Regions from separate parts of the Mus musculus genome. Here regions 1, 2, 3 and 4 are each reported to be linked to region 5. Evidence: microRNA targets listed by miRTarBase, many of them from high-throughput screens and not tested one by one. Region 5 holds a microRNA gene; each other region holds the end of a gene's coding sequence.

Region 1 (4,125 bases), not on the chromosome of region 5:
ATAGTGCAATGCGTGTGTGTGTGTGTGTGTGTGTGTGTGTGTGTGTGTGTGTGTGTGTGCTGCGTGTGTGTATCCAGGCATAAAGAAAACGGAAAGCTAAAGCTAGAGCTATAGACAAAGGGGGATTTTCAAAGCATCTCACTAGCTGTGAAGAGGAAGTGAAAGGTAGTATGCAAATATTTGCTGTGTCTGTCATCACTGATCCCTTACATGCTCTTCTGTGTTTGTACAAACAGGAAGAAAGGCATGAGTACTGGTCAGTTACCAGTGAGTTCTCTGTTGGCGGAGAACTGGGGTGCTCAGAATGGGCAGAAAGATGTTTAGTTATGTTCGTGTAAAACTATTATATTTTAGATTTTCTTATTCCAGTTTAACAAACAGTGTTTTCATTGTGAACGTCTATTTTTTACAAACTAAAGAGAAAAAACTTTTTGACAAACAGTCATAATTGCTTTCCTTGAGGCAAGCTGACAGGCTCAGGAAAGAGTTAAACAAAGAAACATATTGACCAAAGACAAAATTTAAAAAAAAATTGATAGGCATTCTAGAAATAACAAAAAGGTTCTCTCAGGGATTCTCAGGAAGAATATATACAAATATATAAAAAAAAATCAGGAGGTTAAAAAGCATCAGAGAGAGCCGGGTGTGGTGGCACATGCCTTTAATCCCAGCACTTGGGAGGCAGAGGCAGGCGGATTTCTGAGTTCGAGGCCAGCCTGGTCTACAGAGTGAGTTCCAGGACAGCCAGAGCTACACAGAGAAACTCTGTCTCGAAAAACCAAAAAAAAAAAAAAAAACAAAAAACAAAAACAAAACAAAACAAAACAAAACAAAACAAAAACAACAACAACAAAAAAAGCATCAGAGAGAAGATAGTAGCTATAGAAGACAAGAGAGAACCAACATATGAATAATTGGCACTTCCGACGTTGTTCCGTAGGCTGTAATGAAACCTTAAGGCTTACAAGGACACACAAATGGCTTTTCCTAAAGTATAAAGACTGAGAAAGATTGATGAAAATAATAAAAAAAATTAGAAATACCGGGCCGGGTGTGGGGGCACACGACTTTAATCCCAGCACTCGGGAGGCAATGGCAGGCAGATTTCTGAGTTTGAAGCCAGCCTGGTCTACAAAGTGAGTTCCAGGACAGCCAGGGCTATACAGAGAAACCCTGTCTCGAAAAAAAAAATTAGAAATACCTTGATCTGTTTACTTCAGGGACAAAAAGTTCTTTGGACACACAAGCCCTCCTCCCACACCACCAAACATAAAGCAAAACCAACAAATAATCCCAACTATTTATGCATAGATTATTTTTTAATTGCTCTCGTGCATGGTCAGAAGGGGAAACAGAATACATCATCTAAGGTATTGCATAACCCTTTCCCCGCTGACACTCTTCCTTTTGAGTCGTCTTTGGCTCAGGTTTTCCTCAGTGTGTTCTCTGCACCGTCGATACTTATTTCGTTAAAGCGAGTTCTGCTGATAACCCCCAGGGAGCACTCATGATGCTGGTGTCTTGCTGATTGACAGGAGAGCCAGTGAAAGCCATCCCCACCTCAGTGGGCATTGAGTGTCCTTCATAGTTGGCCCTTACGTGGCTTTTTGACTGAGCACTAATGTTTTACAGTCTTAATCAGGAATGTAACAAAATTGCACATCAACAGGTCTATATACACAATCACAGAGACTTGGATGTCAGGCACCTTGGTAGTCTATTGACTTCTTCAAAGTGTTCACTGTTGTAGCCGGGCGTGGTGGCGCACGCCTTTAATCCCAGCACTCGGGAGGCAGAGGCAGGTGGATTTCTGAGTTCAAGGCCAGCCTGGTCTACAAAGTGAGTGCCAGGACAGCCAGGGCTACACAGAGAAACCCTGTCTCGAAAAACCAAAAAAAAAAAAAAAGTGTCCACTGTTTTCCTCTTGTGACAGGGATAGTTCATTTATGGCCTCAGACACCTCCTTGTCACAGAACTTCTCTGGCTCACAGCACAGAGTGGAAATGAAGAGTGTTATTACCTTGTATAAATTTTGCTGTTGCTGCTTGGAGACACACTCTTGCTATGTACCCTGTGCTGGTTTTGAGCTCATAATCTTCCTGTCTCAGCTTCCCAGAGCTGGAATACAGGAGTGTGCACCAAATCTGGCTCCTAGCAGCAAAGTTAAGAGCTATTACACTGTTTCTGCATGTTTCCCTAAGGTCAACCCATATAGGGACCACTTCTTTTAGCCAGGGTACTGAAAACAGACATGATTAAACCCCAGTTTAGCAATGCAGAGACTCATGGATGATAAATGTGAGAATACACAACTACAGAGTGCTCAGCTCCAACTGGAACATTTATAGCTACTTCCTTGCGGCACAGGGAATAGAGCTCAAGATGGGGAGGAAAGAATGTGAGAGCCAGGGGCTGGGGAAGAGCTGTGAGATGCTGTCTTCCGAACAGGACAGACTTTGCACTCATGAGCTCAAGGTAGAAATGGTCACTCCCACAAGATCAAGCCAACAGTGCCAGGCAACATTGTTGCAGGCAACCCTAGACTTAGTAAGTTACAGAAGAAATGGTCACTCCCACAAGATCAAGCCAACAGTGCCAGGCAACATTGTGGCAGGCAGCCCTAGACTCAGAAGGTTACAAAACATAGAGGAGAGGGCAAGAAGGTGAGGTGGAGACAAGCTGAGGGGTGTCTAGGAGGGTGGGGGCAGTGGGAATTAAGGGTAGGTATGATCAAAGTACATTATACACATGTGTAAAATTGCCAAAGAATAAAAGATATTCATTCAAAAAATACAATGTTAACTTTAAAAAGATGGAGGACGACTGCTTACAAGCCTCTGAGGCTGATGAGACTTAGAATCTTGAAGCCGAGCATTTCAAACATATCCGTAAAAGATTTGTAAGATGTTGAAGTTAGCGGGGAGTCTCTGCAGCATAGGTGGATGGAAGCTTGCTGCTTACAAGGCTCTATGTTTATGGACTCAAGTATTGGCTTTCGTATGGCCTGCGTGCTTTTCTGAAGGACTCTTGATCTATGAGAAACTTCTGGATGGTAGCGAATGAATGGGCCATTGCAGAATAGCCCTCCTTCACATGAGATTCAAGTTGAAGGTATTTCAGATGACCTTGAGTGAGGGTGGAATGACCTTGCCTGAGATGTGTTTAAATCATATTGGGAACTACCACACACACACACACACACACACACACATCTATCTATCTATCTATCTATCTATCTATCTATCTATCTATCTATCTATCTGGCCCAGTTGCTGGGAACTACCATATATATTGGTATATATATATTTATATAAATATATATGGTATGCATATATATACTATTACATGTGTATATATATACATATACACACAGACATATATATGTGTATATATTTGTTTATATACACATATTTTTTCATGAAATGCCTTGAAACTATAAAGTCAGAAAATATTGTTGGGGCTTAGGATCACACCTCAGCTAGGGACAACATCCTAGTTCTCCATGCAGAGATGGTGGGCTAAGGAGAGAAAGGAGAAGGGAGACACTGTAGCTCAGGAGGACTCACTCCTGACCTTGTTCCTCCTTTGCCATTAAGTCTGAGTCCATGACGGAGTTTTCTATCCCCTCCAGGGCAGGAACTCCAGCATCTGCATGCAGAATCCCACTGGACACATGGCTGAGATCACAATTTATTAGGGATCCAATTGCAGTTCAGCGTTGGTGGTTTCAGCAGGTTGCAGCAGCTCTTCAAAGCATAGAGGCTGAAGTTTCCTCCTGGGACGACGTCATTTGGTCCCTTGGCAACAGTGCTGGTGGAGGCAGAAGGAACTCATTAGCTGGGCCTTAGGTGGGAGCAGGAGGAGAGTAGACAAGGGCACACTGGAAATGGTACAGGACAGGAAGCGGATTCCCTTGTTTCCAGTCTAGATAGGTGGGTTTAAGAGAGACTCCTGAGGGTTGGTTTTGGTTCTCAGATTCTGGGTGGCCCTGAGAACTCCCACTGTTTCTTTCAGAATAGCAATGACAGGGTAGAACTAATTCTTACAAAAACAACAAACGAAAAATAAAAAGGTACCTGTACATGAACTGGACCCATGACTAGGCAGTTAAGAGCACACTGGCTG
Region 2 (4,125 bases), not on the chromosome of region 5:
TGAATTCAGCAGCACAAAACAGTAGTGGAAAACCTGCTGCCTCATCCTCTAACCAGAAGCCTGTGGGTTTGACTGGTCTGGCAACATCATCCAAAGGTGGAATAGGTTCCAAAATAGGTTCTGGTAACAGCACTAGCCCCTCTGTCCCGTTGAAACCGCTTCCACCACTAACCTTAGGCAAGACTGGCCTGAGTCGCTCAGTGAGTTGTGATAACGTCAGCAAAGTGGGTCTTCCTAGTCCTAGTAGTTTAGTTCCTGGAGGCAGCAGCCAATTGAGTGGGAATGGAAATAGTGCTACAACGGGGCCCAGTGGAAGTACCACCAGCAAAGCCACATCAGAGACCAGCAGCAGTACCTCAGCATCTCTTAAAGGTCCAACTTCTCAAGAATCACAGCTCAACGCAATGAAGCGATTACAGATGGTCAAGAAGAAAGCTGCCCAAAAGAAACTCAAGAAGTAATATGGCCAGATAGATTTTTATATCATATTACTCTAAAACTTAAAAAACAAAACAAAACAAACAAAATAAAACCCTTACTGGGACAAAAGTTGTAATGTACTGTACCTTAATAAAAATCTTGATCAAATCTCTATTGTTTGTTACATTAAAATGCTAATATTATTTAGCCAAACTTGGATCTATTTATTTCAGTCTGTTTAGCATTTTTAATTTCCATAGTGTGTGAAAATAGTGATTATAATGACTGATGCATGACAAGAGCTTCAAGAAATTGATGGCGCATACAGATGAAAAGAAATGGCTCACCTGGTACCTTATGGGTGGCAGGGACAACTCAATAGAAAGTGTTCCAGCGTTTTATAAAATCTGAAATGTTCAGTGTCAGTCATTGTCCTCATGTCAGCTAGTATCTCTCTCCAATTACCTCCTCTTTTATCAAAATTAATTTTGAAAGTGATTTCCCATAGCTCCCTATCATGTCTTTAGCTCTCAACCACCCCTTATCAATTACTTAGGGCGTTATTTATTCCAGTAGATTATGAATGCTCATACAGTATACTTTCTCACGTTGCCCACTTTCCGTACCTGGCCAGTGTGTGGATATGTGCAGATATGTACATTTAATAAATGCTGACTTGGCTCATCCTGGTTGCACATTCTGAGAATCATTGAGAAGAGTATCCATTTCCAAGAGGCTTGGCAGATGGGCATTTATGACTAGTTTGCACCCAGCTTCTTCCTCATGGTGAAAGGACAAGCTGTTTTTAATACTTCAAGAACGTTTGGTGTGGTTTATCTTTGTATGAAAGAGGCTCCTACCTAATGATTAGTCCTTGAGGTTTCTGTCAGAACGTGCTCATATGCTTTGAATATTGTTAGGATATGGTTTGTCTTAAGGTTTTATGTGTTAGGAAGCATAATCCCCAATATGGCAATGGAGTTGGTGGTTGACAGGTGGAGCCTGTTGGGGGAAGAGTATGCCCTTGGGAAGGATTAATTAGTCCTCATATGTCCACTGACTAATTCTGGCCAAGAGTGGAGTTATAAAAGGCTATCCCAGAATTGACCCTTGGGCAAAATCTCCTCTGAACTCTTGCCGTGATGTGATCCTATATACATGGTCCAAGCCATTGTCTTGTAAGCTAATGAATTACCCATTAGTTTACATATATATATGTATATATGTACATACCCCAACAGAGAATACTTTCTGTATCTGACCAGTAAATGTATTATAGAAAAATAGCTTCCTTTCTTTTTTATAATCAATGAATACCTCATTATTTCCCAAAAATGAATCTTGTGATTTCCTATATTCATTGAGTCAAATTGCTTTAAATCTAATCTCAGTGTATCTTTATCCCTAGATGTTCTAACATCATTATTCTAAAAATAAATTGATAATCATTGTAAAAGAGAAAACTTTTAAATTAAGCTTGGTCTTTTTCTATGGAAGTATTTTAAACTGTTAAATAATGGCGTTAAATTGTTCATAATAAATTAGAAACCAATATTGAAATAAACTCAAAATTTAGAGATGGAATAAATATCTATTTATATACTTAAAAATGTGCCTGTAGATGTTTTTGTTTTGTGAATCACCTTTCTGTTCATTAACACTGGTTTGGTATAAACTCCATATCCCCTTTATAAAGAGTTCAAAACAGTTTGTTTATACTTCAAATGCAATTTTGACTTAACAAAATGACCTGACACAAGTTTATATCAACAGCTATTACAGTTATTGAAATTCACTTCCTTGAAGACATTAGAGAAATAATGCTTAGTACAGTTTACATATTAGCTTTGAAGTAAAAAAATTTTAGTCTCATTACAGAAAGTGTGCTGGATCTGAGAGAAGCAATTATTTTTGATATTTGTGGCACTAGTTGGAAATTTTAATGAGTTTAGGAAGTAATTTATCTTTCAGTGAATAGGATTCTTTGTATAGGTAATTTGTGTGCGTGTGTGTGTGTGTGTAGTAAGGGCCTAAATTTGGTATTTTTAAGGTATATATTTGATATTATAAATTATTATAAATTAACTAGCTCATAGGCCTTTATTTTTTTCCTCATCAAGTATACTACAAGAAGCAGTTATGAAAGTAGCAATAGTATGGGTTTTTTTTTTTTTTTTTTTGGTTATGTATAACAAGGATTTCTAACACTTGAGTTATATGAGGGGTAGAGAGCTTGTTTTGTCTTGAATAGCATTGGAATCTCCAGCTCTCCAGTGAATGAGTGAACAAGTGAGAAGGTGTCTTAGTTTTCTCTTCTGTTGTGATAAAATACTCTGACAAAAGCAACCTAAAAGAGAAAGGGTTTATTTGGGCTTACAGCTCTCAAGGGACAGAATCCATCATGATGGTGAAAGCAGGGCACCAGACCATGAGGCCAGTTGATGAGTTTGTCTCAGCTTTCAGGAAACAAGACATAGAGCAGGGTATAAAACCTCAAAGCCCTCCCCCCAACCCCCAAGTGACTGTTTCCTCTAGTAAGTCTCCACTTCCTCTAGATCCCATAACGTTCCAAAAAGCACCACCAGATGGCAACAAAATGATGAAACATAGGAGCCAAGGGGAAACATTGCACATTAACAACCACAACAGCAAGTGTTCTTGTAGAGATTTAGAATTGACAATTCGAACTATCCTGGTCAGTATCCTTTTCCTGTTTTTCATATTGTAATTTATGAGATCAAGCATAGAATTTAGTGAATTGAAAATAGATGAAATGACACAGAAAGAATGCTGGTCTTAAGATGCAATGATCTGGTCTTCAACTCCTTTGTGTTAGTTTCCTACTTTATAAAACGCAGTTCAGATGAGATAAAATGAAAAGACTTAATACAAACAACCCCTGGTTTATAATGCTTTACTGTTTTCTTATTTTTCAGTAGTGTGAAAGTCACATACATTTAGTTGCATCTGCACTTCAAGTCATCTTCCTGTGTTGCTCACATATTCTGAAATTCTATTTCATTTCCAGGCAGGGGCAAAAGGTTGCAGCTCCCAGTATTCATGTGATCATGCCACCAAGCAACTGATACTCTCTATATAGCAATGACTTTCTGAACAATGTGATAGTCAGTAGATCAGGATGTTTTAAACACATGGTGAGTATATCAGGTTATAAGTCCACTATAAAAGCACATCTGTATTTAAAAGTTAGATGATTCCAGATCTTGACGAGGGCATGATAGTAGTTTTATTAGTTACAATTATAAATTGTCACGACCCCAGGTTTCACAGGAAATACATCACTTTTAACAACATGAAATTTTAGTAGTACAAAAGTCAGAAGAAATTAGAAATGTGATGGATACATTCAGATGCCTCAGTGGAATTTTAAGCAAAACAAAACAAATTTAATTTAGTAAAAATATATTCCCAGGATTTCCAACCAAGAACATCTTAGGTCTAGTCTTTTCCAACGTGTTGACCTGTTTTTCAAAATACGCAAAATTTACCTGCATCTAACCAGAGTGTACAACCGTGAAAATCGTAGCTACGTAAAGACCCCAGGGTGAGAGCCAGTAGAACTGAAGTACTATAGTTTGGACTGGATTGATTTTACATCTATGTGTGTATAGAGAAGGAAGCAACTACAGAATTAGACTTTGAAGATTTGTATTCTTTACACAGAATCTATTCCTACAGGATTCC
Region 3 (4,125 bases), not on the chromosome of region 5:
TGGGGTTACCCTGCACTGTACTGTTTGTCTCTTTCTAATTTCTGGTTGAACTCAACTGATGTCTATGCATTTTTTCATAAAAGGATATGAAAAATCCCGAAGCTTAAACAACATAGCGGGCTTGGCAGGCAATGCTCTGAGACTCTCTCCAGTAACGTCCCCCTACAACTCTCCGTGTCCTCTGAGGCGCTCTCGGTCTCCCATCCCATCTATCTTGTAAACCAAACTGCATCAATCGGCTAAATTCTATCAATACAACCAACTACTGTTTACCCTGTAATGGAAACAATCAACTGTAGAGTTTCTCCAGGCTCCATTAGTAACAGTGTAGCTCCTGCATGATATTACTATTTGAAGTCAGAAATGCTACGCAAGTAGCTAAAACATCTTATCCTGGCTTTAAAGATGATCTAAAGTAGTGCTACTACTCAAGACAAGTTGCCCCAGTTTCCTTTTGCAATACAGTGACCAATAGTGTCAGATATTGGCCAGTGCACTAATGCATAAGCCATATCTTCAGGGAGACTTTAATAGTGTGCTTCTAAATGCCAGCCACCTTTCTGGACCTTCATTTCTTGTGACTCCAAACCATTCTGAAGATGTCTGGGATCCTATCTAGATCGCATAGGACATGACTTTGGTCAGTTCATTGGCATGGACCATCTTGTCTGTATCACCTGAATACAATGTTGTAGAGTCCTGGGACTGGATGGCTCAGGATACATGTACTTGCTTCAAACCATCCTGCAAATGTGAAATCGCTGGGAGCCTGTTCTGCATGTTGAATTGTGGGGCAGGGAGGGGTGCCTTTCTCCTTGCTATTCCCCACCCCTTCTTTGATAGAAGTATTTACTTTAAATACCTTAATTTTTCGATTGATTTCTTTTTTTTTTTTTATAAAAAACAAACAAATGCTGTATTGGTGTTCTGAATGTTTTTGGTTGTTTGTATACACAGATAACTGCAAAGAGGTTGTCATTACTGGTTACACGCAAGCCGAGGCCAGATCTCTTACTTAATGACTTGGGGAAGGCACAAAACATGAAAGAAAGGTAACAGCTAACCAGGCTTGCATTGTTTAGCCAAGAATCGCTGCTTGGTACTAGAGCCATTCCCCCCCCCCCCCTTTAAGTCCTAGAATTTGTCATTATTTTTAGAGGTAGAGTGCCAAATATTACCCAAAGCTTTTGTCTTTTTTTTTCTTGCCTCTTTATTTTTATTTATTATTTTGTGTGAACATTAAAAGTTACTGGTGTTCACCGGAGGCTTTTTTGACTAGCCTTAAGATTTGCATCAAAGGACTAACCAGAATTTTCAGGCTGTGTTTAATCAGGTGCTTCGTCCCGTGTGTTGTCTCCATCTGTCTGTCTTAGCTCCCTGTCTTAACTCTATATGCTGTCTCCATAGAGGGTAGACGTGCCCTGATTGTCTCTTTGAACTCCCTACCTCCTACCCATGTCTTCTTGTATGCAAAACTAATGATGCTGTGTAGACTACCTAGATTAATAGGCACTGTGAATATTTTTTTCCATGAGCAGGACCGAAGCAGCAATTCACCATAGTTCTCTGTTCCTTATGGCAGTGCTGGTTTCTACTGCCTAGCAATCAGCATTCACCAGTACGTTCCAGGAACCATCCCTAGGGAGTCTTTTTTATTTATTTATTTATTTTCAGTCTGGAGGGAAGATAGTCTGTTTACACATCCCTACCAAATGCTGTAGCAATAGTGTATCTGATATTTTGGGTATGCGAAGGAAGGAAAATGCCATAATATAATCTCAGCCTAGACTTTAACTTTCAATGAATTGATCCTTACGCGTGTTGATGAATTCCTGATTCTCATGTTTATTTTTGATAGAAAGGCAATTGTCACTTGTGTTATTGGATAGAGACGTGTGTTAGTCTCCATTCCCAAGCCCTAGAGCATGAGCTGCATGTCAAGAGATCTTGTACAGCAATGCATTTACCCAGACGTAAATACTCGAAATTTAGAGACTCCACGATTCTTTTGATAACACCATTCGTAGAATGCTGTGAGTACTCAGAGATTTACGGTAAGGAATTAACATGCTGTCTGGTGCTGCTGTTATTGACTGCAGTGTTGTACAGAATTTATCATGGATTTTTGACTGCTGAAAAAAAAGGACATTGAGATTTAGCCATTCCAAGGATTGTACCAGAAAACTTCTGCTACCGAATGTAACCCGATGTGACCCGTTTGTTTCCAGAAGAGGTCCCGCATCTTATGAGGCATTTAAAGCTTATAAAAGGGACTGTGGCTGGAACTGAGATGGTGCTCGCCATGGGAATATTCTGCTTGTCGACAGACCTGAGTCCACGGAACAGCTGTAAATACCAACCGTGTGCATGGACCTGCCCACTCTCACCGTCTCATAGACAGTGAGACGCCACAGACATCAGACGGTGAGACGTCAGACGGTGAGACGCCACATTCATGGTCAGCGTCTGTGGGGCTTCAAGGAATGCCCGCAAGGCTCTGAATGGCTCCTCTCAGGCTCACGGTGGTTTTGGAGTGAATTACAGAGGGCAGTGAATCCGATGTAGTATAGGTCTGTTTTCATTTCTCTTATTTGTACATTACGTGTTGGATATCCAAACACTGATTGCCTCATTTTCTTGCAAACCGCTTATAGATCAGCGTGTCGACTGTGTTGTAAACTTCTAGTGTCTACATAGAAATCTAACCATTTCTTGGTCACGTGTTCATTTAGTTCTGGAAGGCTGTTACTATCTAGAAGAAAGTCATCAACAGTGTTCATAGTTTTAAGTCTTTTGTCCTTGTTACCTCAATTATAAATATTAAAAAGTATAAATTCTGGCAATGAGAATATTTTTTTATTAAATGATTAAGGAAAATGTCAGTATATAGTAGAATATTATCAAATTATATCCTAAAATGTCTATTTTGCATAAAAGAGATATTCTTCAACCAATTACTTTTTTTTTTTGTGAGCTTTGTGGCTAACGAAGCGTGCATTTGTCCTTATCACTGCTGTAGTTGAAACTGTATAAGAGTTTTTCATCTTGCTTAATCAATATTTCCAGAATCTAATAGTTCCCCTGGGATTCTGAATATACTATATAGCCTAACTATAACCCCCCTGTATCGTGTACCTTTTGTGACCATCTCAAGGTGCATGCCTAACCTTCTGATAAGCCAATGGACATGTTACTAACTGAAGTGAAGAATAAAAGTCAACTGATCTGGGGATAGACTTGAATCCTATGTGATTAAATGATTCATACCCTTCTCTGGCTTTCTTTCTTTGTGTGTTTCGATTTCAGTGGCTTGGCTGTTGTTCTGCTTCATGGTTCTACAGCACACACACTTACACATTCCCAAGAAGTTGGGAATGAAGGTCTTTTAAAGATACGGAAGCTCTCTATTCACTCAAAACTTGGAAGCATAGCTTATGTTTTCTATTTCATTCTGTTTTCTTGCGAGAATACTTGTGCTTTAATTTCATTAACAGTGCAGTTCAGGACCTGAGTGGCACAACTGTTCATTTACATTTTTGTCACAAGTGTCCTTCCTACATTTTAAATATTTACTGAACCTCTTGGTGTAAATCCTACTTGAAAACATGCCTTCTGTCTTTGGATCTCTGTTTCCTACACATGACGAACATAGCTGGCATCCCAGCCATATTGCAGGGATATGAATAAACTTACCATACACAATTCTATAATACCATCCAATGATAGAAGAGACGAGGAAAGAAAAAAAAAGTACTGAGGCAGAAAAGAATGTGGGCAAATCCAACCCCCCTCTTTTAATAATGTATCTGCATGCGAGTTTCAGTCTCTCAAGCTGTTCAGTGCTAATGACAACAAGAGGATTAAGATGCGGAGCCTAGCAAAGAGGGTTTTGAAAGTAGAGTTACCTGCAAATGTTATTAACAATAATATTCAGAGGAAAGATTCACTGTGACAAGGAACACTGTGAATAAAGAGAAAACATACTTCTATCAATAGCAATCACCACCAGTTCTTATTAAAAAAAAAAAAAACAGGTATAAGATATCACAAGTAAAGAGTAATGATATTCATCTCATTTTTACAATGCATCACGAGTGGGGGCTAGTGAGAGGCTTCAGAGGGGAA
Region 4 (4,125 bases), not on the chromosome of region 5:
ATTTTTCTTCCAGGCTAGAGGAGGTTTTGGCTATGGGGCTGCGTACTGATGTTGGAGTCACTCACCAGGTAAGGGACTGGGGGGATCTCAGATATTATTAGCACCTCCTAGGGTCACTTCCCAGGCCCTACTCCCTCCATCCTCTAGGTTGGCAACTAGAAGCTGGACCTGGCCAACTGAAGTCTGGTGACAGAGGCAGTGGGTAGTGCTGTATGCCAGTTAAAGATTGCACGTAGAGCTCTGTGCTGGGCAGGTGCTCTACCACTGAGCTATTATTCACATTAAATCCAAGTGTGTGTGTGTGTGTGTGTATGTGTGTGTGTGTGTGTGTGTGTGTGTGTGTCGGCCAGCTCATTGCACTGACTTCTGATTCCTAGCACTGGCAGCAGTTTGAGCCCCAGCTGACCCTGTGGGACGTGTTTGGAGCAAGCAAGGAGGTGGAGGAGCTGCTAGCTCAGGGTCTGCTGCTGCTGGATTACAGGTATGTTGGGAATATTGTGCGGAGGGGGCTTCACAGACCCTGGGAGCTCTTGACTACAGATTGGGGCGTGGGAGGACTGCCATAATGAGTGTGTCACAACTAAATGTTCCCCTCCTTTTCAGAGTGGTAGAAACAAGAAAGACCAATAGAGGAGGGCATGGGCTGCCAGGGGTGGGCAGGAATGGGCCTTTATGGTAAAGTTAGAGTCATATCCAGACCTCTCGGTTTTCCAGGGGTCTCCGGTGTTCCTGGGAGGGCCTAGCTGTGCTGGACTCCCTGTTATTGACCCTCCTACCTCAACTCCAAGAGGCCTGGCAGCACAGGCCTTCCTCACCCGTGTCAGGAGGATGACCAGACATCCTTGTATCATGAGGAAGCACCAGTTGGACTTAGAGGGCTGGGCCAGATGGTGGGCATCTGCCGGTAGGTGCCATCTCTGCTCTGAGGTGCTATTGCTTGGCTCTGACACCCCCATGGGAATGGATGTGGTCAGTTGGATGGACGGCTGCCTCTGTTCTGGGGACTGGTATCCCTCACAGCATCCCAGGAGTCACAGGTCAGCAAGTGTTCCCTGCCTAGGATGTCCTCACCACCCCACTCCCACCCCCCGCCACTGGCTTTTGTTGACTTTTTTGGACACCAAATAACACAAAATCTTTCTACAGGGAATTGTATCTATCAGAGAAGCCTCATTCTAGAGAGAAGCCCTAGCTTGTATGGTTCAGTAGAACTAAATCCCCTCCAGGTACCTTACACAGAAGAAATATAGGAACAAGATGTTTACAAAACCATTTGAAGGGCTGGAGAGATGGCTTGGTGGTTTGCTCTTCTAGAGAACCAGGGTTCAAGTCCCAGCAGCCATGTGGCAGCTCACAACCATCAGTAACTCTCATTCCAGGGGATCCGGCACCTTCTTTTCACCTCTTCGTGTACCAGACACCTGTGTGGTGCATAGATATTCATCTAGGCAAAACACTCATATGCATAAAATAAAAAGAAATAAATCTAAAAAAAATATTTTTATCCAAGGCCACTTGTTGTACAGAAATGTAACCTATACTCTATGTATGTCTCATTATTTCCTAAGGGTTGAATTCAGGTTCAAAGTTTTAAACATTATTTTCATTTTTATTATTTATTTGGATTTTCAAGATGGGGTCTCTCTGTGTGGCCTTGGTCCTGGAGCTCACACTGTAGACCAGGCTTGTCTAGAACTCAGAGATCTGCTTGCCTTTCTTTGCCTTCCGAATGTAGGGATTAAAGGCTTGCACCAATACTGCCCACATTTTATTAAAGTGTGTGTGTGTGTGTGTGTGCGCGCGCGCGCGCGCGCGCGCGCGTGTGTGCGTGCAGCCATGGAGGCCAGAGTAGAGTGTTGTATCTTCTGGAGACAGAGTTACAGAGGAATGAATGTGAGCCATCTTTTCTGAGCACCACACTCTGGTCCTCTGGAAGAGCAGGGAGCACTCTCTCCTGCTAAGCTATTTCTCCAGCTTCTATTTTGAATGTAAAAGATTGTGGGGTTTTTTTTCCCCCTGAGACAGTGCCATATGTACCCGACACTGCAAACTCACTGTGTGGCTGAGGACAGTGTTTAGCATCGGACCCCCTGCTTCTGCCTCCCGAGTGCTGAGATCACGGGCATGCACCACCACACCCATTTTTCTGTGGTTCTGGACTTCATGCGCTGAGGCAAACACCACTATCTAAATCCCCAACCCTATCAGGTTCAGTATTATTATTTTTTTAATTTAGATTTATCTTTCTTACTATTTAAGTATTTTGTGTGCATGCCTTTGAATGTGCACACCATGCGTGTGCCTGTTGGATCCCCTGGAACTGGGCTTGCGGATGGTTGTGAGCCACAATGTGGGTGCTGGTTATTGAATGTGGGTCCTCTGCCAGATCAAATAAGTGCCCTTAACTGTTGAGCCATCTCTCCAGCCCCGAGGGTAATAGTGCACAGCTGCATCTTTCCTTTGAAATTAAGGAGTTCATTATCTTGGCTTGAGACCATGAGACCAAATGTCCCATCGCCTGATAATCATTTGACCAGTGACTTTAGCACCTACTAGTGATTCTTTCCCAAATTACTTTTAAAATTTACATTTGTATTTTTAAACATTTACTTATGTCTACAATTGCTCTATCTGCATGTACACCTGTATGCCAGAAGAGGACCTCAGATCACACTATAGATGGTTATGGGCCATTACATTGGTGCTGGGAATTGAACTCAGGACCTCTGGAAGAGCAGACAGTGCTCTTAACCACTGAGCCATCTCTCCAGCCTCAAACTTAGGTATTTTATGTATATGAGTGCTCTATTTGTATATATGCCTGCATGACAGAAGAGGACATCAGATTATATATAAATGGTTGTGAGCAACCATGTGGTTGCTGGGAATTGAACTCAGGACCTATGGAAGAGCACCCTGTGCTCTTATCTGCTGAGCCATCTCTCCAGCCTAGCCAAATCATTTCTTAAATTGAGGATTGCAAAGTATTGGTTTCTGATTCTATTATTCCTTCCAAATTAATTATTTTCCATTTTCCCCATAAAAAAGAACTTTCCTCTGTTATTGTTACAATGTTAAGAATCAGACCTATGGCCTTGTTCAAGCCAGACAACCTCCTTCTATGGTAGGAATCTCAAACCTGTAAATTCCTAACCCTGTAACAGGCTCATCCCATCGAATAGACCTTAGGTTGTCAGACTCCCTGGACGGGGGGGGGGGGGGGGGCGCTGCCATAATGGGTATGTCTCAACTAGATGTGTCCTTGCTCTTCAGAGGGACATATTTCTTCCTGATAACGCAAGACCTTTTTTCTTCTCCCCTGCCGCCTGCAGGGGAATCAGAGACAGTCTGGTGATGTGAAACCTCCCCCTTCTACTGAGATCTATAGGAAGGGGCCCCCCACTCTACCCTGGGGAACTTGGATCCTCTTCAGAACCCTACCATGTTGTCTGTGTGTCTATGACACTGGGGCTTGAATGTTCCCGCTACTGTACACTGTGCCGCTGTGCCTGTGTGTCTGTGGTACTGATAATTCTCTTAATAAATCTCTTACCCCAAAAGACAGACCTGCGTAGCTCCTCCTTGAGGCACTTCCAACCTTTCATTCTTGACTTGGAAATTGTATGCCATGCCATGCATGCGTGTGTGTGTGTGTGTGTGTGTGTGTGTGTGTGTGGTTTGTTTCATTGTGCTAGGGCTGGAACTCAGGACCTGTCACTGAGCTACGTTCTCAGCCTAAAGCTCCTTAACTAATTCCTTATCGTGGCAAAGGGTACCACGGTGCCAGAAGTGATTTAGTAACCCTGCAGGTGGAAGCATGCTGACTTCTAGTGGATGATGAAAGGCCAGGGGATCCCCCACACTGCTTAGGAGTAAGCACGTGTATTTCCCATGTGCCGGTGGGTGTGAATGCCAGTCCTTCTTTGACCCTGTGGTAACGTGGTAACTGTTACTTTATTCATGAACTACTCACCTAGCACCAGTGGTCTGCCAGGCACCGTACTGGGCATGAACAGAGGAATAAGACCTGTCTGTGCTCTCAGGGAGCTTGATGCTGCGGTGACAGATGTTCAGAGATAAAGCGTTGCTGGTTAAGGTGTTTCAGACAGCTATGGGAGCCTGGAG
Region 5 (4,125 bases):
GCATGAATTTGAACTCCCGACCCTGCTCAATCTGTAATATGTTTGCACATGGCGAGTGAGACCGTTCACTGTCCCACTACTGCATAATCTCTAAAAGAATAAGTCACATAGCATTCAAATTAATGGATGAATTCAATTCCTCTGTGTGTGAGAGTGTATGTGCTTGCATTTGTGTGTGTGTGTGCGTGCGTATGATATATATATTCACATACACACAAGCACATGCACACACAAATATACACACATGGACATACATGGCTGAGAATCACATGAATCACAGGCTGATCTTAAAATCATCATGAAGTTAAGCATGAATTTGAACTCCTAAAACTCCTGATTCCAGCATACATTTTGACCTGGAGAGTGAGATCACGCACTGTCCCAGAACTGCATAATCTCTAAAACTCTAAGTGACATATCATTCAAATGGATCGATGAGTGTCATTTGTGTGTGTGTGTGTGTGCCGCATGTGTGTGCATGTGTCTGTATATGCAAAATCATATACATACATCCACATGCACACACACGAAAACACACATCGACATAAATGGGTGGCATCACATGAATGATCTATAACTGAAGTTAAGCATGAATTTGAAATCCTGATTAACCTGACTCTGTCAATCATTTACACCTGGTGAGTGAAACCATTCACTGTCCCCTATTGCATAATCTCTAAAACTCTTAAGTCAGTTATCATTCAAATGGATTGATGAGTGTCATTCTTGTGTCTGTGTGTGTGTGCTTGTGTTTATACGTGTGTGTGTATGTTATGTATATTCAAATACACACATAAACATGCACACACAACTATACACACATGCACATGCATGGAGGAATCACAGGCTGATCTCTCATGAGGATAAGTATGAATTTGAACTCGGGATACTCTTAACTCTAGCAAGGATTTTCACCTAGAGAATGAGAGCACTCACTGGCCAAGTACTGCATAATCTCTAATATGCTAAGTGACATATCATTCAAATGGATCAATGAGTGGCATTCGTGTGTGTGTGTGTGCTGCATGTGTCTGTACATGTATACTCATATATATACATTCACATGCACACACCTGTAAACACACATGCACATACACGGGTGGCATCACATGAATACCAGGATGATGTCCAGCTGAAGTTAAGCATGAATTTGAACTCCTGATCTTCTTGAATCTGCAAATTGTTTACACATGATGAGTGCGACCATTCATTACCCACTACTACATAATCTATAAGACTGTAAATCACATATCCTCTGTGTGTGTGTGTGTGTGTGTGCACGCACGCGCATGCAAGCGCACATGCACGTGTGTCTATGTATGCTCTCATGTATATGCATATTCATATACACACATGTACATGTACGCACACACAAACACACATGCACATACACAGGAGCCATCACATGAATGCCAGGCTGATCTCCAACTCATCATGCAACCAACATGAATTTACACTCTTGATCATCCTGAATCTGGCAAGGGTCTTTACCTTGTGAGTGAGAGCATTCATTGGCCCAGCACGGCATACTCTCTAAAACTCACATGTCACATGTCACATGTCACTCAAAATGATCTATGGGTGCCATTTCTGTGTGTGTGTATATCTGTGCATGCTTGTATATGTTTGTGTGGATGTATATGTATATTCATATACACACATGCACATGCACACAAAACTATACACACATGCAAATATATTGTGGGGAACCCCATAAAATCAGGCTGATCTCTACTCTCTTTTGAATTTATTTATGAATATGAATTCCTGACCCCTCTGAATATGGCAAGCTTTTACATAGTGAGAAAAACTTTCATTTGACCAGTACTACATAACCTTTAAAGCTCAAAATCACATATCATTCAAACATATCAATGAATTCCATTCCTTGTGTGTATGTGTGCATACGTGTGTCCATATACATGTATGTTTATGTTATATATATATATATATATATATATATATATATATATATATGTATATATATATATATATATATATATTCATTTACACAGATGTACACGCACACACATGTAAACACACATGCACATACATGGGTGGCATCACAGGAATACCAGGATAATCTCTAACTGAAGTTAATCATGAATTTGAAATCCTGATTCTCCAGACTTTGTCAATCATTTACAGCTGGTGACTGAGACCATTCACTGTCCCACTACTGCAGTCTCTAAAACTCTAAGTCACCTATCATTCAAATGGATCGATGAGTGCCATTCCTGTGTGTGTATCTGTGCTTGCTTGTATATGTTTGTGTGGATGTATATGTCTATTCATATACACACATGCACATGCACACAAAACTATACACACATGCACATACATTGGGGAGGATCCCATGAAGCCAGGCTGATCTGTACACCATTTTGAAGTTACTCATGAATTTGAACTCCTGATCCATCTGAATATGAAAAACATTTTACTGGTAAGTAAGAAGTTTCATTGGCCAAGTACTACATAATTGCTAAAGCTCTAAGTCACATATCTTTCAAACATATAAATGAATGCAATTTTTTCTCTGTGTGTGTGTGTGTGTGCTTGCATATACACATGTGTTTATGTTATGTATATTCATGTCAACACATGCACATGCACATACAAGTAAACACACATGCACATACATGGGTGGCATCACATGAATACCAGGATGATCTCTAACTGAATTAAGCATGAATTTGAAATCTTTATCCTCCTGACTTTGTCAATCTTTTACACCTGGTGGGTGAGACCATTCAATGTCCCCTATTGCATAATCTCTAAAACTCTACATGACTTATCATTCAAAGGGATTGGCGAATGCCATTCCTGTATCTGTGTATGTGTGCTTGCGTTTATACGTGTGTGTGTATGTTATGTATATTCAAATATAGACATGAACATGCACACACAACTATACACACATGCACATACATGGAGGAATCACATAAATCACAGGCTGATCTCTAAATTCTCATGAGGATAAGTATGAATTTGAACTCCTGATACTCTTAACTCTAGTAAGCATTTTCACTCTAAGTCACTTATCATTCAAATGGATTGATGAGTGCCATCCCTGTGTGTGTGTGTGCGTGCGTATCTATGTGTGCGTGTATGTATATGTATATTCATATACACACATGTACATGTACGCACACACAAACACACATGCACATACACAGGGGCCATCACATGAATGACAGGCTGATCTCTACCTCATCACGCAGTTAACATGAATTTGCACTCCTGATCACCCTGACTCTGGCAAGGGGCGTCACATGGTGAGTGTGACCTCTCCCTGGCCCAGTCATACAGAATCTCTAAGACTCTAAGACACATATCATTCAATAGAACAATGAGTATCCATTTTCTGTGTGTTTGTATGCATGTTTGTATGGGTATGTGTGTATGTATATGTATATTCATATACACATGTTCATGCACACATACATATACACACAAGCAAATAGATTGGGGGCATCACATGAATCCGAAGTTGATCCCAGACTCATCATGAAGTTGAGAATGAATTTTGACTGCTCATCCTCCTGACTCTGGCAAGCATTTTTACCTTTTGACTAAGAGCACTCACTGGCCCAGCACAGCATAATTTCTAAAACTCTAAGTCACCTGTCATTCAAAATGATTGATGGGTGTGTGTGTGTGTGTCTGTGTATCTGTGCTACTTCTATATGTTTGTATGGATGTATATGTATATGCATATGCACACATGCACATGCACATAAACTATACACACATAAACATACATTGGGGGGAACCCCGTGAAGTCAGGCTGATCTCTATGTCATTTTGAAATTACTCATGAATTTGGACCCCTGATCCATCTGAATATAACAAACATTTTTACTGGTAAGTAAGACGTTTCATTGGCCCAGTAATACATACTCTTAAAGCTCTAAGTCATATATCATTCAAACGTAACGACGAATGCAATTTCTTCTGTGTGTGTGTGCCTGCATATACACGTGTGTTTATGTTATGTATATTCATATCAACACATGCACATGCACATACAAGTAAGCACACATGCACATACATGGGTAGCATCACAGAAATACCAGGATGATCTCCAACTGAAATTAAGCATGGATTTGAACTCCTGATCCTCCT

What was found. The annotated mature microRNA mmu-miR-669m-3p reads AUAUACAUCCACACAAACAUAU and lies in region 5 at 2,264-2,285, opposite strand. An mRNA with a match to its seed (bases 2 to 7 or 8) in the 3' UTR can be bound and repressed. Matches are read on the target gene's strand: a 7mer-m8 pairs with bases 2 to 8, a 7mer-A1 pairs with bases 2 to 7 and ends in A, and an 8mer does both.
Region 1: miRTarBase lists Slc28a3 as a target of mmu-miR-669m-3p. Seed matches in the 3' UTR shown: 7mer-m8 at 3,357-3,363 and 7mer-A1 at 2,741-2,747.
Region 2: the mRNA of Ints12 is a reported target of mmu-miR-669m-3p. Seed matches in the 3' UTR shown: 7mer-m8 at 1,636-1,642.
Region 3: miRTarBase lists Kcnc2 as a target of mmu-miR-669m-3p. Seed matches in the 3' UTR shown: 7mer-A1 at 3,027-3,033.
Region 4: miRTarBase lists Rsad1 as a target of mmu-miR-669m-3p. Seed matches in the 3' UTR shown: 7mer-m8 at 2,791-2,797.

Annotation. Positions count from the first base shown.
Region 1 is chr13:58,552,007-58,556,131 of GRCm38, forward strand. It overlaps Slc28a3 (solute carrier family 28 (sodium-coupled nucleoside transporter), member 3), which reads right to left. Exons shown (of 18, transcript NM_022317.3): 18 at 1,301-3,810. The coding sequence ends at 3,684. Among named protein-coding and RNA genes, the nearest start is that of Gm38494, 7.6 kb to the left of the region's middle.
Region 2 is chr3:133,108,959-133,113,083 of GRCm38, forward strand. It overlaps Ints12 (integrator complex subunit 12), which reads left to right. Exons shown (of 7, transcript NM_027927.4): 7 at 1-2,030. The coding sequence ends at 461. Arhgef38 (Rho guanine nucleotide exchange factor (GEF) 38) reads right to left here. Exons shown (of 14, transcript NM_001368752.1): 14 at 3,320-4,125. Among named protein-coding and RNA genes, the nearest start is that of Ints12, 19 kb to the left of the region's middle.
Region 3 is chr10:112,463,034-112,467,158 of GRCm38, forward strand. It overlaps Kcnc2 (potassium voltage gated channel, Shaw-related subfamily, member 2), which reads left to right. Exons shown (of 5, transcript NM_001379643.1): 5 at 84-3,271. The coding sequence ends at 220. Among named protein-coding and RNA genes, the nearest start is that of Kcnc2, 200 kb to the left of the region's middle.
Region 4 is chr11:94,539,237-94,543,361 of GRCm38, reverse strand. It overlaps Rsad1 (radical S-adenosyl methionine domain containing 1), which reads left to right. Exons shown (of 9, transcript NM_001013381.2): 7 at 14-68; 8 at 378-481; 9 at 715-3,564. The coding sequence ends at 832. Among named protein-coding and RNA genes, the nearest start is that of Rsad1, 7.9 kb to the left of the region's middle.
Region 5 is chr2:10,511,007-10,515,131 of GRCm38, reverse strand. Mir669m-1 (microRNA 669m-1) reads right to left here and starts at 2,342; the gene lies at 2,245-2,342. All of the region lies in intron 10 of Sfmbt2 (Scm-like with four mbt domains 2), which reads right to left. It overlaps Mir297b (microRNA 297b), which reads right to left and starts at 3,465; the gene lies at 3,357-3,465. It overlaps Mir466d (microRNA 466d), which reads right to left and starts at 3,165; the gene lies at 3,070-3,165. It also overlaps Mir669m-2, Mir466n, Mir669o, Mir466g and Mir466h.